Medicago truncatula: one gene and its partners. The protein of the gene in region 1 interacts with the protein of each later gene in a pairwise test. Links are inferred from orthologs where the notes say so. Each region holds a gene or a part of one and is shown in the gene's direction. Other genes may lie near its edges.

Region 1 (4,945 bases):
CAAAAAATTAAAAAAGTGGCTTGAAATATCATTAAAAAACTTGATTATTGTTTTTTCGAATAAGTTAAACTAGCACATTTAAATTGATACTGATAAAAATTGATCTAAGATCTTTAAAAAAGTACACTCTCTAAGATCCCAAGCAAACATTAACATGCTAACTCAAGTGGATTTAAAACATGATTTTTTGTTAAAACAAACCAATTTTATTCTTCTTTTGTCTATAACTCGGTGATTTGAGTTAGAAAAAATCAATATATATATATATATATATATATATATATATATATATATATATATATATATATAAGATTTTGGGCTCAATATCTGCTACTATCAATTCTATTTCAAAAAACATTTATCTTTTCTTAAGAAATTGATTACTAACATTTGTCTTCTTTTTTATACAATCACTAGCATTTTTTTAAAAGAATGATGTTTATATCATTTCATTACCAATAATTTGTTCAATATAACGAAGTACATTAGTATAAATAATGGGACTGGCTAATAATGCGGCCACCCCTGCTAAATGGTGAGCTTCCTCATTGACTTGTCTCCGAGTAAACTCGACCTTAGAGTTGGTAAACTTGGTGTTGAAGAGACGGCGGCATGTAGAGAGAACCTGGGCAAACTCTATGATGTTAACGCGATGACCATTAAACGCATCAGTATCAGTCTTGGAATCCAAAGAGAAATTAATATTGTCAAAACCCATGTAACCCATCCATTCATGCGAATAAAAGAGACCCAAGGCTTCCCCCCACTGGAATAGGACACACATGGGTAACCGGGATCACTTTAGCAAGCACAAAAACACATTCGTCATTGCGAATAGAACTACATATCCTTGTTCTATTGAATTGATTCGAAATAAAGGCATCTATGTTACATTAGAAACGACCATGTTGTGGTCTTTGCCAACAAATTTCAGTCGTACCTGAAGTAACTTCGTTGTTCTGAATGGTGGGAGAGAAAACAACACTAGATGCACTTGAGGTAAATGTAGTAAGCGTGTGTTGTGGAAGCACATGCGACATCTTAGCTGCCATATGAGGGGTGTTAGCCAAACTCCAGTCTTCGATTAAATGAAAAGCACGATCAATAACTTCTGGTACTATTTGGTGACTTCTTACCGTAGCTATAGATTGTAGTGCTTCCATAAACTCCACAAGAGAGCTGCAAACCTTTGGGAATTGTCTCGCGAAAGTTCCTAAATGGTAGATAATATTGCATCTGTTGCCGAAGATGTGTTGTTGTGCACACTATTAATCGTATCGCCAATTTCGCTTCTATGCCACACCTGCGCAACAAAAGAACAATTGAAAATAACATCGTTAAGGTTTTCAAACGGTTTGTTGCAAGTGACACAATTAGTAGAGCAATGCACTGCTTTATCTTAAAATCCAACATGTGTCGGCAAACAATCTCTGCACATTCTCCATATTAAATTTTTAACCTTCGGAGGAACCCGCAGCCTCCAAACACCATCCCAATTAAGAAATATAATTTTCCTTCTTTTCAAATATATTGATTATTTGTATCATTTAAATTTTTCAACAACATTCCTTTTTATCCATTAAGAAGAAATCTACGACTGTTGACTATGAATTATACTTTTTATTTTGAAATGGAAAATAGGAGCAAAACTAAGAGGTAACTGCGTGGCATCATCCCATCCATTCATCTAATGTAAAAAGTATATCCAGCCATTAATCCTATTTCATTGTGCAAATAAATACTGATCCTGAGGGACCCTCTCTTCCACACGGATATGTGGGGCTCTCCACCATTGTTAGGGTTTGTTGTTTCTCTCAATCAACACAATTATCTTTTTTTTTTTATTTTTTATTAACAAAAACCTCTTCGAATTCTCAATTAGTCTTTCTAATCTTTTGCAGTGCCTGAAAGATTCAAACACAGTCAACGTATCAAAAACTCTGTTTCTCTGCAAAACAAAGTAGGCCCCAAAAAAAATGATTTTTTTCTTTTCTTAAATTTGAAATCTTTTTCTTTTTTTTTTCATCTGGGTTTTGATCATTCCTTAATGGGTCTTTGTTAAATTTTTATTTGTTAATTTTTGTTTAGGATGGAAGTGAACCCTAACGGCGGCGATGTTTTATGTGAAGAAAACAAAACTGACAGTACTGAAGTATCTCCGTCGGAGACGACGGAGCCTGCGGCGGCGTTAATGAAAGAAGAGCTAACGGAAACGGAAAACAACAGCCTTATTCCGGTGCCGGTTCAAACGATGACAGTGGCGGCGGCGAAGAGGTCATCGAAAGACCGTCACACGAAGGTGGAAGGACGTGGTCGGAGAATCAGGATTCCGGCGACATGCGCCGCCAGAATCTTTCAACTGACGAGGGAGCTAGGTCACAAATCCGACGGAGAAACAATCCGGTGGTTGTTAGAACAAGCTGAACCTTCTATCATTGAAGCAACTGGCACCGGAACGGTGCCAGCCATTGCTGTTTCCGTCGGAGGTACGTTAAAGATTCCAACATCATCTCCGGCGAGACCAGACGGTGAAGATGCTCCGGTGAAGAGAAGAAGAAGAGCTTCAAACAGTGAGTTTGTTGACTTGAATGATCAAGTTTCAATGTGTTCGGGATTAGCACCAATTGCTCAAACCGCATACGGTGCCGCCGCCACCTCCAGTGGCGGTGGTAGTGGTGAAAATGGTGGTGGTTTAGTTCCATTATGGCCTGTTGTAAGTAACGGTGTTGGGTCTAATACAACAGGACCATTTTTCATGTTCCCAAATTCAACTCTAATGAATCAGCCACAGTTTTGGGCTATTCCTGCAGCACCATTTTTCAATGTGCAAACAAGACCTATTTCTGATTTTGTTTCTGCTATGCAAATGCCACAAGAACCTTCAAATGCTGCTACTGCTTATGCAAATTCTAATGCTTCATCTACTTTGGCTCCTAGTTTGAGTTCAGCAACTTCAACTAGTTGTTCTGCTACTACTTCTTCATCCTCTGCTACAAATACTCAGATGCTAAGAGATTTTTCTTTGGATATTTTTGATAAGAAAGAGCTGCAGTTTATGGGTTGTTCTTCTGCAAATTTGGAATCATCTCCCTCTTCAAATTGAAGCTTTAAGTTGGTAGAAAAATGTGCTTAGACTTTAGAAGTTAGAAAAGCTAGTCAATATCTTCTTTTTTTTTTTTTTTGAAAATTGGAGCAGAAAAGCAGAGATAGCTTGTGTCTATCTGAATTTTGTCTTTTTGGTTTTTGGCCAATGCGAAAGAACACGTCTTGAATTTTTGTTTTTAAAGAAATCTTTTTTGTTTGTCTATTTATCTTATAAATTTTATTATTTCTGCCTTTAATATTTATTATGGTCATTTTTCATATTTATTATTGAGAGTAAAAAATAATCAAAATTCTAACAAAAATTGTCAAATAGTCACTTTATATATTTATTGTGGGTTCAACTTATATAATATTTGGGGCGATATTGGTCAAAGTGTACAAACAAACAAAAAAGTGTGGTGAAAGAGAGAAAAGAAATTCAGTTGTGACATTAATCATTGATTTTTTTTTTTTTTGAAGGAGACATTAATCATTGATGTAAATGCATTTGTTAATAATTATTGAATTTTAAGTATGTTCTTTGGTGTGCCACCATCTAAACTTTTTTAAAATATACAAATTGAAATGATCATTTTTTAAAAATATTATAGAAAAAAAGGGTTTATTAAGTTTTTAGTCCTTATAAATATTCACAGTTTTGTTTTTAGTCCCTACAAAATAAAATCACACTTTTTAGTCCCTGTGACATTTTCCTTAAGTATTTTAGGGACCAAAAATCTTGATGAAAATTTTTACAGGGACTAAAAATGCTGATGGAAAAATTTTATAGGAACTAAAAATGTTGATGAAATTTTTTATAGGGACTAAAAAGTATGATTTTATTTTGTAGGGACTAAAAACAAAATTCTGAATATTTATAGGGACTATTTACTTAATTAACCCAAAAAAAAATACATAAATTGATTCAGAATAAAAAATAAAATAAAACTTGTTTTTCAAAATGCAAATGTAAAAACCACTAATAACGGGAAGAAAAAAAAAACGTCATCGTGAGCATGGAAAATGAATAAGATGAAGTTATAGACAAGTGTGATACAATTCTGAACAAATAAGATGAAAATTATATATTAAATGAAGGAAATGGAAGAGTTTGTTGTTCTTTTAGATGAAAATGGAAATTGATTGAAGAAAAAATCAGTGAGGTCTGCATTATTTCTTGTTGAATTGAGGATAATTTATCCATAATGACAAGTAAAATTCAATTTTAAAACAAATGTGATAAATATCACATACTATCAAATAAAGGAGATGAAGAAATTTAATATTTTTGAAATGAAAATGATAACAGATTGTAAGAAAAAATATGAAAAAAAGGTTTTTTTTATATTAAATTAGCATGTTTTCTTTTTTGGTCAAGTTAAACCTCAATCCATATATCTACTAACTGAGTTAAATTTACACGGACTTTGTTTATATTTTCTATTAAACAATGATCTTATATCATCGATAAAAATGTGAATTCTTATTTTATATTGAAAAAAACGTAGATAAATAACCTCAAGTTTGGGGAAGTAGGCAGTGCAAAAAGAAAATTGAATTTTTGAGTCAAAGGTAGTGCCAGTGGGTCCAACGTCCCACCGTGCGGGGTCCAGTTTACACGTGCGAAGTCGTTTATAATTATCCGATAATTCTTAAAACGGTGTGAGGTTTGGGCTACCTAGCAGTGTGCGTGGCATTAGAAAAATGGGATCTTAGAAAGGTCACGTGAGTTTCTATCAGCACGTGATGTTTGTGGGCCCCAAAAATGTGGGTGGGGAAAGGGAAGGGTCCGTGGAGCATGTTTAGTGGCTGAACTTGGGCCACGAGATTTGGTCACGTGATTGCTGGATTATGGCACGTG
Region 2 (4,308 bases), about 45 Mb from region 1:
TTCCTTTGATTCTTATTGAAAAATCGATCATTCAATGAATGATTTGGGCGTGAACGTTGCAGATCCAAATTTCAGTCAGATTAATTTTATCATATTATTTGTAGGTATTTTGTCACTGTATGTTATTAACTTGGATGTTATGTGTTTGTTCATGGATTCACCACTTATGTAGTTTATATTTATTTATTTTTTAATGGCAAAATATATTTATATATATAAGGGGATTAAATCCCAAGTATTACACCAAAAAGAGAAAATAAAAACACCAAAAACCCCCAAAGAAAAACCACCAGCACCCTCAAAATGCCGAATCCCATAACAACTCCTCAAAGAACCAACACCGCCAACAATGATCAATTAGGCACCCGATAGTGATTTTGCTTCAAACGTTCAGCTTCGACCACCACTCAAGATCCGGTCTATCGGAGGAGACATCACAACAGCCTAAAAGGACCTGAGTCACAAACTTACTCCCGAACTCGAATCAAAAGCGATCGGCACATAAGACTCCCGACACAATATTGATAACATGTTTGTTATTGCAAAAAGAAATTAATATTTCTTTAGTAGTGCTGGGTGACTCTATAGAAAGCATGTCAATAACATTGTAAAATATAATGCAATATATACAAAGAAGTTTTTTTTTTTTTTTTGACAAATTGAACAAAGAAGAAATAAATAGAAGAATAATGGGATATGTTACTCAACATAACCTAGGATGACAGTAGTTAATTTATTTATTTTTTTGACAAAAGGATGACAGTAGTTAATGAATGCAACATGGTGGTGGAATCAAAAGCTACATTTATAAAATTTAATGCTATAAAAACTATTAAAAAAATAACCAAAACCAAATTTTTGCTTATTTTACATAAACTAAGAGTCTATTTAACTTTACAATAATAATAATAATAATAATAAATTCTTCAAAAAAAAAATAATAATAATAGAAATAAAAAAATTAAATGCAATGAATGCATTAACAACCAACAAATACTAAAACAAAAGTCAATGTGCTAGATCTACCATATACATATAAATATAACTTAGATGACCAATTATAAAAATTAAAATATTTTTGAGCCAATAAATTGACCCAATCTATCTATATATGTGAATTTTCAAATCGGATTGAATTTGGACCACAATAATATCCAACTAGTATACATATTTTATAATTAATCTTTTTTTTATTGAATGATTAATATGGTTGGTCCATTGTCCACTCATTTTGGTACCCTTACTTTATTTGCTTTGATAGAAAACTATGCTGCAAAGTGAAGTTTAGATCACACGGACAGTTTGTTAGAGCCTTCACATGATTCGTGAATATCCAACTTGCCCTTTTCAACGATTGCGACTATTTCTTCTTCTTATTTCTCATCTTATTATATATCCAATCTTACCCTTACTCTTGCATTAAAATCACAATCTCCATCCTTTCTGAAAAGCCATGCATATTTTCTATATGCTCCACCAAAACCAATAGTAAATACGATATACTATAAAAAAAAATATATAGTTCGGTTATAATGCTACTACAAATATAAATCTACCACTTTATTCAAAAAATATATATATAAATCTACCACTACCTATAGGTATGGGCATGCATGGTAATATGGTATAAACAAAAAAGCATAAATAATATTAAAAAAATGTAGTAGTAATAATAATATTAATATCATTAAAGTAATCCATATTTTTGACTTATCCTAAACCTATCTCATCACTTATACAAAAAGAAATGTAAGAATGAATGGAAAAGTAGTGGTCAACATGACGCACAACAAGTAGTTATTAAAAAATTGCTTGTCGTTATGTATAATAACGAGACCACAGAAAAAATAAAAAAATATATACAACCCTCAAAAGTACCACCGAATAAGCTCCAAAAAATATGCAATATTTGGAGAGTATATATTTTTATGTTTAAAAAAATGTTAGAGTAGAGACAACACCTTTCCTCATGCAGCTAAAGCTAGAAAAATTCCACCCTATGAATCCTCTCCCTTACTTAATAGGTAAGCAAATTAAATAAAATATATTATATACATTAAAAAAGAACCACAAACACATATACACACTTTTTACTAAAAATATCTATGGAAAATTGTAAACTATAAATAAACAAATTAACCCAGGGGTCTGATTCCTTAGTGACGTACATAGTTTTTGCATTATAAAATTAATAAAAATGAACAGTCAAGGGCATATCCGTCTAAAACAAGAAAAATAACAAACACCAAACATTAATATAAATATGTAAGTGTTCACATCTTCATGCTTTGTTTTTGCATATAATGTTTTTTGTCCACTACTTTTCTTCTTCTTCTTCTTCTTGAATGATATTTGCTTTTGACACCCCCCAAAGCAATAAGAAAAACACACACAAAATGGCTTCGGTGCATAATATTCAAGGTCTAACAGAAGAAGAATACAAAGAACTCGAACCAATCATAAAAAAATACCACATATTAGAACCAACCTCAAACACATGCACTTCAATCATAACCTACAAAATAGAAGCACCATCAAGCATAGTGTGGCCATATGTTAGAAGCTTTGAGAATCCACAAAAATACAAACATTTCATCAAAGGTTGCAACATGAAAGGTGATGGAAACGTTGGTAGCATTAGAGAAGTTACCGTTGTTTCGGGTTTACCGGCTTCGACAAGTACCGAAAGATTAGAGATTTTGGATGATGAAAAACATGTAATAAGTTTTAGAGTTGTTGGTGGTGAACATCGTCTTCAAAACTATCGTTCGGTTACTTCGGTTAATGAGTTTGTCAACAATGAAGGTAAGGTTTATACTATTGTTTTGGAATCTTATATTGTTGATATTCCACATGGGAACACTGAAGAAGATACCAAGATGTTTGTTGACACTGTTGTCAAGCTTAATCTTCAGAAACTTGGAGTTGTTGCTATGAGTTCATGTTCTTCCATGCATGGACAATAATATATAATCAATATTTGATGTTTTAGTTTATTTTAGGATCATCCATTTATGGACTCTTTATGTTCAAGTTCAATAGTTGTTACTAATTAGTATTAAGTATTATAATGCATGTTTCATTTTCATTCTTCTTATATAATCTTCTTCAAATCATCAAATAATAATATTGATATATCTTTTATTTTACCAATCAAGTTATATGGAGGTTAATTTTAATGTACAATCTTTTGTTTTAAACACTTAAAATTAATGTAAAATATTTTAAAGATTTGATGATTATAATTGTCAATAATACTTTATATAATGAGAGCATGCTAATTAGTAAATGTAATTATCGATACGATGTATCGTTAAAGCCTTTACTTCAGTTCTAAATGTCGTGCAATTTTAATTTAAACTATGAATGTGTAGCGGTTAAACCCTTTACGTTTGTAATTGGTTAGAATCTAACAGGAATATTGATATAGATTCTAAGTTTGCTTGACGTGGAATGAGTCCTAATTAAATATTTAATAAGATTTTTCATTTTCGTCTTCGTTAAGTAATATGCTTGGTTTAAGGTAATGATGATAAATTTTGCTAGTGGCGTGTTTAAGCATATATACAAGTTGAGACTTTTTTTTTAAGAAATATGTACAAGTTGAGGCATTTGATTTTGATATCAGTTAAGTTTGTGTAGTTTGTAAACATGATTATAATAACAAGCGGTTTAATTTGGTTGCATATTATTGAAATGGATTTCTTGATTGTTAGGCTTTTCTAGTAGTAATTAGACATGAAATTAAAAGTTCAGAAATGGTCAATTTTATTGGCAAAAAACAATGGTCAATTTTGGATCTATTTGTTTAAAGTGGGAGTGAAAAAAAAGAAAAAAAAAACTATTTTGTGTCAACCGTGGGTGGATGATGGTAGTTGAGTTAAAATAAAAGCATATTTTTGTATGGCTTAAATAAATGTCAAACCCTTAATTAATTCAACGGCAATTGGAGAAACAAGAACTGAGAAAATCTCGTGATGACTTTGGGATCAACCTTGAGAAACATGTGAAGTGTGAAAATATATGGCTAGAAAAGTTCATATATAACTCTCTTATATTATTGGGACTTGAACAACGTATATGAACAATATTATGTTCTTTTTTATATAGTTTAATGTTATTTGAAAGGCGGCAAGAAGCAACTTGACAGTTGGTGTATTCAGTTTTTTCCTTCATACATATAATATAATCATACTACAGCTCATAACTTTATTTCGGCTTTGGCATAATGTTACTCTTTTTTGTTTTTTAATATTTGGTAAATGCATACAAATTAAAGAAACACTTAATTGATAGAAAAATGATACA
Region 3 (5,640 bases), about 45 Mb from region 1:
GGATTCTTTGTGTTTTAAATAATTTTCATTTTAGCTTCTTCAAAAAAAAGATATAGGAAAATTTGTGTATGGGTATAATTGGAATTTAAAAAATTCAGCCTAAAATCTATATCTCCTTCGTATATAATATTGTACCTATAGCAGTGGAATCTTTTCTATTTTTATGGAATTTTATTATTTTATGAGGGTTAGACATCTTCATAAAGTATAAATCCTTAGATGAGAATTCATGAGGCACACGAGATATTAAAGTTAAATGATATATTCATGGCGTTCATAATCTAGTATGAAGGTTATGGAGTAATCGAACATTGTAGCGAGTGGAGCTTTCTTCGCCATTGGGTTTATGTCACGTCATTAAGTGCCCTGCAATCGCCTTGACTCGCCATGGCAAGGCTATTGCTCGCTATGGGAAGGTTTTGTTTTCCTGAATTCCTGAGTTTCTGGAACTGCTACTTCCACTCACTTCTTGGCTCCCCATGGCGAGTTGGTACGCCATGGCCTCGTTGTGGCTTGCTTGAGACTTCTGAAAACTGGATTTTCTGGAACTCCTCGCTGCAAGCTCGATTTTAGCTCGCCATGGCGAGTTAGCTCGCTCCTTCCTCACTGTGGCAAGGCTTGGACTTATGAAATTGTAAACTTTCTAACTTAGCTCGCCTTGTCCTCGCCCTGTGCTCGCTATGGCGAGCTAACCTTTGCAAATCTTCAAGTTTCTTTGTTGAATTCTTGTCTTGTTCATCATTTTCCTGCACAATGGAATAAAGTAAGGTATAAAAAGCATAAATAGACATTTGTGCATAAATTCTTGGCATTTCCATGAATAACTTGTAAAACAAGTAATCAAAAGTGCTTAATATATAACATAAATTTACTACTTTCTACCACTTATCAATTCACTGTTGTAGTGAAACATAAATTTATTGAGGGTCTTAGTTATTGTTCATGATGTTTTTGGGAACAATGTTACATTTTTTTAATATTTAAAGGTTTCTTCAAGACAAAAGACTTGATATCTAAAATAATTGATTACATACAGTTTTGAGACAAAAGAGTTTGTTTACATACAGTTTTGAGTAGCAATATTTTATTACTTATTTGATTTGATGACAAGCTTTATGACAATCTTATTATTGTTGATCTAAATCAATTAAAAAAAATTAAACAAAATGATAAAATCATAGTATAAACAAGAAAGTACATTATAAAAAAATTATCATAAAATAATTATACAAATATCATATTTTTATAACAATACAGTAGAGGTGTGAAAGTATAATCAAGATGCATATATTAAAATTAAATTATAATTATTTTAACAATATATATGCACCCCACATGACACAACTTAATAGTTTCGTTTGAACTATGTAATAAACAATTCTAGAAAAAATCTATGTAATAAAGAATAGGAAATGCTAACAAGTGCCCTCAAAGTAATGGTTAAGGAAGTAAATAATCTCCTATTGAAATTTGTGCATTCAACTCCTTAAAAGTTTAAAAAGTGATATTTTCAACTTAATTTTATTTTTTGATTTCCTTAACCATTATCCTGCGGGCACTAATTAAGGAAGCAATTGATCAAGAACCCCGAAAAGGAAAATCAATTAGGAGACAAACTACAGAGAATTAATAGCAAAGAAAACTAACTTTAGCAAATAAAGCAAAGAAATTAAAAAAATATAAACCTAGCTACACTACACTGCATTTGGCTTTTAAAATATTTAAATGAGTCGCGCTAACCATTGCTCTCAAAGCAATAATTATAGAAGCTTTGCATTAGTTTCAACAACATTTTAATTTTTAAAAAGTTAAATTTATCACTTTTTACTATTTTCCAATGTTATATTTTTATTTTTATTTCCTTATCCAATGTTCCGAAGGCAATGATTAACATTCTCTAATTTAAATATATCTTCATATTTATTTCTATCAACCAAACAAAGTCTTGTCAACCACCCCCATCTCCAAGACATTGCCGGTTTGGACTAAAGCCACCACTCTCTCCTCTCTCTCTAATCTTTCTCTTCTTCGTACAACAACACATCATGTGAGAGTTTTGCTGGTTTCTACTTGCTCCACCCTGTCAATGCCCAAAATCTATAAGCTCCAATCATCTTCACTCATCTCTCAACCTCTTAAACTTTTGGCTTTTGAAACTTCTTGGACCCCTTCACCCCAACACACACAAAATTACACTTGTGTTGTCCCTAAATTTCATTCATTATATAAACAATCTCAAAGATGGTTTTCATTAGGGTTTCAATTAAGTTCTTGACCTTTCCATAATTTTTATTACTCTATAAAACAACAAAGTAGGGTTTTTTCATTTTCCCTATATTTTGAGAATTGAGTTGAGTGAGAGAGTTAAACATATATGATATTTGGTTTCTTAAATTTGAGTTAAATGGAGGAATACACTAATAATCCAAATCCAAATCCAAATTCAAGGCCAAATTTCTTATACTCCATTGCTAGTGGAAACAACCAACACCAACACCAACACAATCATCAACATAATCAGATTCCAATGAACAACTTTCATGGATCAGACAATTGTTTTCAGTCTGATCAAGTACAACATCAACAACACTCTGCTGTGAAAACTGAAGCAAATAGTACTTCACAACTTCACACTCCGATTTTTCATTACCCAGCTTTAATGAGAACAAATATTATTCCACACACCAATATTATGCATAACCATCATCATCAAGGAGGAGGAGGGAGTCCAAGCAGTTCTAATGTTGAAGCTGAAGCTATAAAAGCCAAAATCATTGCTCATCCTCAATATTCTAGTCTTTTACAAGCTTACATGGATTGTCAAAAGGTCACTAATTAATTATTATTTTTATTCATTTTCATCATTATAACAATTTATTTTTCTTAACCCTTCCCTTCAAGATAAGTAAAATACTATAATCAATAATTAATGATTGTTTCAGTCAAGAATTAAATTTGGACTCCCACCATCATGATAACAATTTAAATAAGCATACCCCATTTTTTATATATATATTTTTAATTTTTATATTAATTAATTGCTATCTCTCTCTAATTAAACAAATTATATGTAGATTGGAGCTCCACCGGAAGTGGTGGCTCGTTTGGTTGCGTCTAGGCAAGAATTTGAAGCACGGCAAAGATCTTCAGTTAACTCGAGAGAAACTTCTAAAGATCCAGAACTAGACCAATTCATGGTACAAGGGGGTATTTTTTGTTTTAGTTTATGTTTTTTTTCTTTCTAGAATTAAAATTATTTTCGTTGGGTTTTTATCTTGATAATCAATAAGTTTAAATTATGTCGGCAAAAATCTAGTTGATTACTGTATCTATATTTATAGAACTTATAGATTGTGGTTTTGGACGTTGAAATGGTGTTTATGTTTATGTTTAACAGGAAGCATATTATGATATGCTTGTGAAGTATAGAGAGGAATTAACAAGGCCTATACAAGAGGCTATGGATTTCATGAGAAGAATAGAAACACAGCTAAATACACTTTGCAATGGACCCCTTCGGATCTTCCCTGGTGAGTAGTAGTAGTACTTTATCTTTTCTCTTAATATATTCAATTCAATATTCATTCTCAATAGTTTTGTTTTATTATATTACTAATATCACTGAAATTAAAACGAGGTCATTAATTAATTCTGGATTATTGACTATTAAGAGTAATGTGACTGATGTGTGAGTGACGGGTTGTGAAAGCTCTTGAAATTCGTAAACTCGAGTGTTTCTGAACATAGCCTGGAAATTTTGACCAAAAATCTCACATGCTTTCAAATCGTGGGAGCAGAAGGGTAGGGGACCCATATAACTGAAGATGATATTTCTTCATCATCTACAGAACCCTAATCGCTAGTACTTTCTAAATATGATATTTTTTTTTATTTTTATTTTTTTTATAAAAAATATCACATTTACTGGTATGTTTCTAGAGGCTGTATTTGTTCATACTTCACGACTCCAGACGAATTTTTTACTATTTCATTTTTTATTGTTGCTAAAACCCAAATCCACACGTTGGCGTCTCCATGTTAGGCTTCTATTTCCCAAGCTAGCTCCTGAGTTCTGACTGACAATTATTCTTCTAGGGTTTCCATGTTAATCAATGTATTTTACTGACTAAAACTCTCGTGTTTATCGGTTTCGAAGGATTCATTGGGTTTTGTGGAATTACTACTCTTTCTCATCATTACATTGGTCAGTTTTTCGGCCGTCTTACCGCTAATGCCGTTTTAATCACTTTTTAATTTTCTCTTTTCTTTTGCATTCTTTCTTAAAAAACACATTGGATGCCGTTCCAATCCAACCCCAACATAGGAGTACTAGTAGTGTTAGGAGTTTTTAGTGCCATTTTTTTTTTTTTTTTTTTTGTAGAAAGGAGTTTTTAGTGCGATTGTGCCTTTGTTTTTAAGTAAATGCTAACTTGAGCCTTCAAGGCACATGTTAAGATACTTATTATAAAAATACACATATTAAAAGGTGTGCATTCAACTTCTTAAAAATTGTCATATTGTGTTTTCCGATGTAAAATTGTTCTTTTTAAGTTGCTTAACATGAATCCAATACAAACATAGTCACTACTTTTGGTTTCTTTAACAAGTGTCCTAAGAACATCTACAATGGATCCTCAATTTTGAGTTCTTAAACGGGTTCCACGTGAACACATCACTATTTTAATAACCGTACTTAATAAGTATTGAGTCACTCCAATGGAGTCCCTCTGACAAAAGGTCTAAATTGATCCAACCACTAACTCTTCATCATTTATATTCCAACAATATAATGATTATTTTAATAAAAAGCAGCGTGGGATCCACTTAAGAATGAGAGTCTTAATTCTCGAGTCTTAGGTACCGGATCTTAAATAGTGAAGACATCACTATTGTGGATTGTCTAAAGGCACTTATTAGCATAACCCTTTATTTTAATCATTTATCTATTATTCTCTTTCATTTAAATCATTTATCCAACATTCTCATCCATATAAAAAAACGAAATACACGTAATGATATCAAAGGAAAAAGCACCAAAGTTTTTCCATTAAGTTAAAATGATCTTCATTTATACTCCCTCTGTCCCATAATAAGTGAATATTTTGTAAAATAAATTGTTCTAAAATAACTGACCAATTTCACTCTTCAATACATTATTAATTACTTTTTTTTCTTTCAATTTTAACTATAATTAATATTACTTTTATCACTCCTAATTCAATATATTCTACTTTGCGTTTGTGATTATGGTAAATGCAAAAATACTTCACAAGAGCACTTAAAACTATTTTTCTCTCCCCTTCACTAATACATTTTTCTTAATAAGTGTGAAATGGACAAAAGACTCATCTAAATTGGGACAAAGGGAGTAAGTATTTTCATTTCTTTGATTAAAAAAAAAATTATGCTAACTACTCCCTTCGTGTCATAATTATTGTCTCTTCAGCATATTTTATTTTTCTCAAAATAATTGTCACTTTACAATACCAATGCAACATTATTTATTTTTTCCACTATTATATCCTTATTTATTGAATTTCATTCAACTTAATTACTCCACTAACTATCATTAATGATGGTATTTTAGCATTGAAATCAACACAATTAATCATTTTCTTAATATTCATGCATAAACCCTAA

What was found.
Region 2: the proteins of transcription factor TCP19 (region 1) and abscisic acid receptor PYL2 interact in binary tests that used the Arabidopsis thaliana proteins (3 or more experiments, as listed by UniProt). The link is inferred for Medicago truncatula from reciprocal best matches to the Arabidopsis thaliana genes AT5G51910 and PYL2.
Region 3: the proteins of transcription factor TCP19 (region 1) and homeotic protein knotted-1 interact in binary tests that used the Arabidopsis thaliana proteins (3 or more experiments, as listed by UniProt). The link is inferred for Medicago truncatula from reciprocal best matches to the Arabidopsis thaliana genes AT5G51910 and KNAT1.

The regions. Positions count from the first base shown.
Region 1 is NC_053042.1:49,609,048-49,613,992, forward strand, and holds transcription factor TCP19, read left to right. Parts: upstream 1-1,664; 5' UTR 1,665-1,800; exon of another isoform or gene 1,801-1,807; intron 1,808-1,825; exon of another isoform or gene 1,826-1,901; 5' UTR 1,902-1,960; intron 1,961-2,088; 5' UTR 2,089-2,089; coding exon 2,090-3,103; 3' UTR 3,104-3,145; exon of another isoform or gene 3,146-3,194; 3' UTR 3,195-3,272; downstream 3,273-4,945. Other genes in the region: uncharacterized protein, read right to left, coding at 732-799, 941-1,045, 1,137-1,413.
Region 2 is NC_053042.1:4,458,629-4,462,936, forward strand, and holds abscisic acid receptor PYL2, read left to right. Parts: upstream 1-2,261; 5' UTR 2,262-2,345; coding exon 2,346-2,966; 3' UTR 2,967-3,075; downstream 3,076-4,308. UniProt on the Arabidopsis thaliana protein: Receptor for abscisic acid (ABA) required for ABA-mediated responses such as stomatal closure and germination inhibition. Inhibits the activity of group-A protein phosphatases type 2C (PP2Cs) when activated by ABA. Can be activated by both (-)-ABA and (+)-ABA.
Region 3 is NC_053042.1:4,715,830-4,721,469, forward strand, and holds the start of homeotic protein knotted-1, read left to right. Parts: upstream 1-1,937; 5' UTR 1,938-2,404; coding exon 2,405-2,827; intron 2,828-3,074; coding exon 3,075-3,197; intron 3,198-3,397; coding exon 3,398-3,530; intron 3,531-5,640. UniProt on the Arabidopsis thaliana protein: May play a role in meristem function, and may be involved in maintaining cells in an undifferentiated, meristematic state, and its expression disappears at the same time the shoot apex undergoes the transition from vegetative to reproductive development.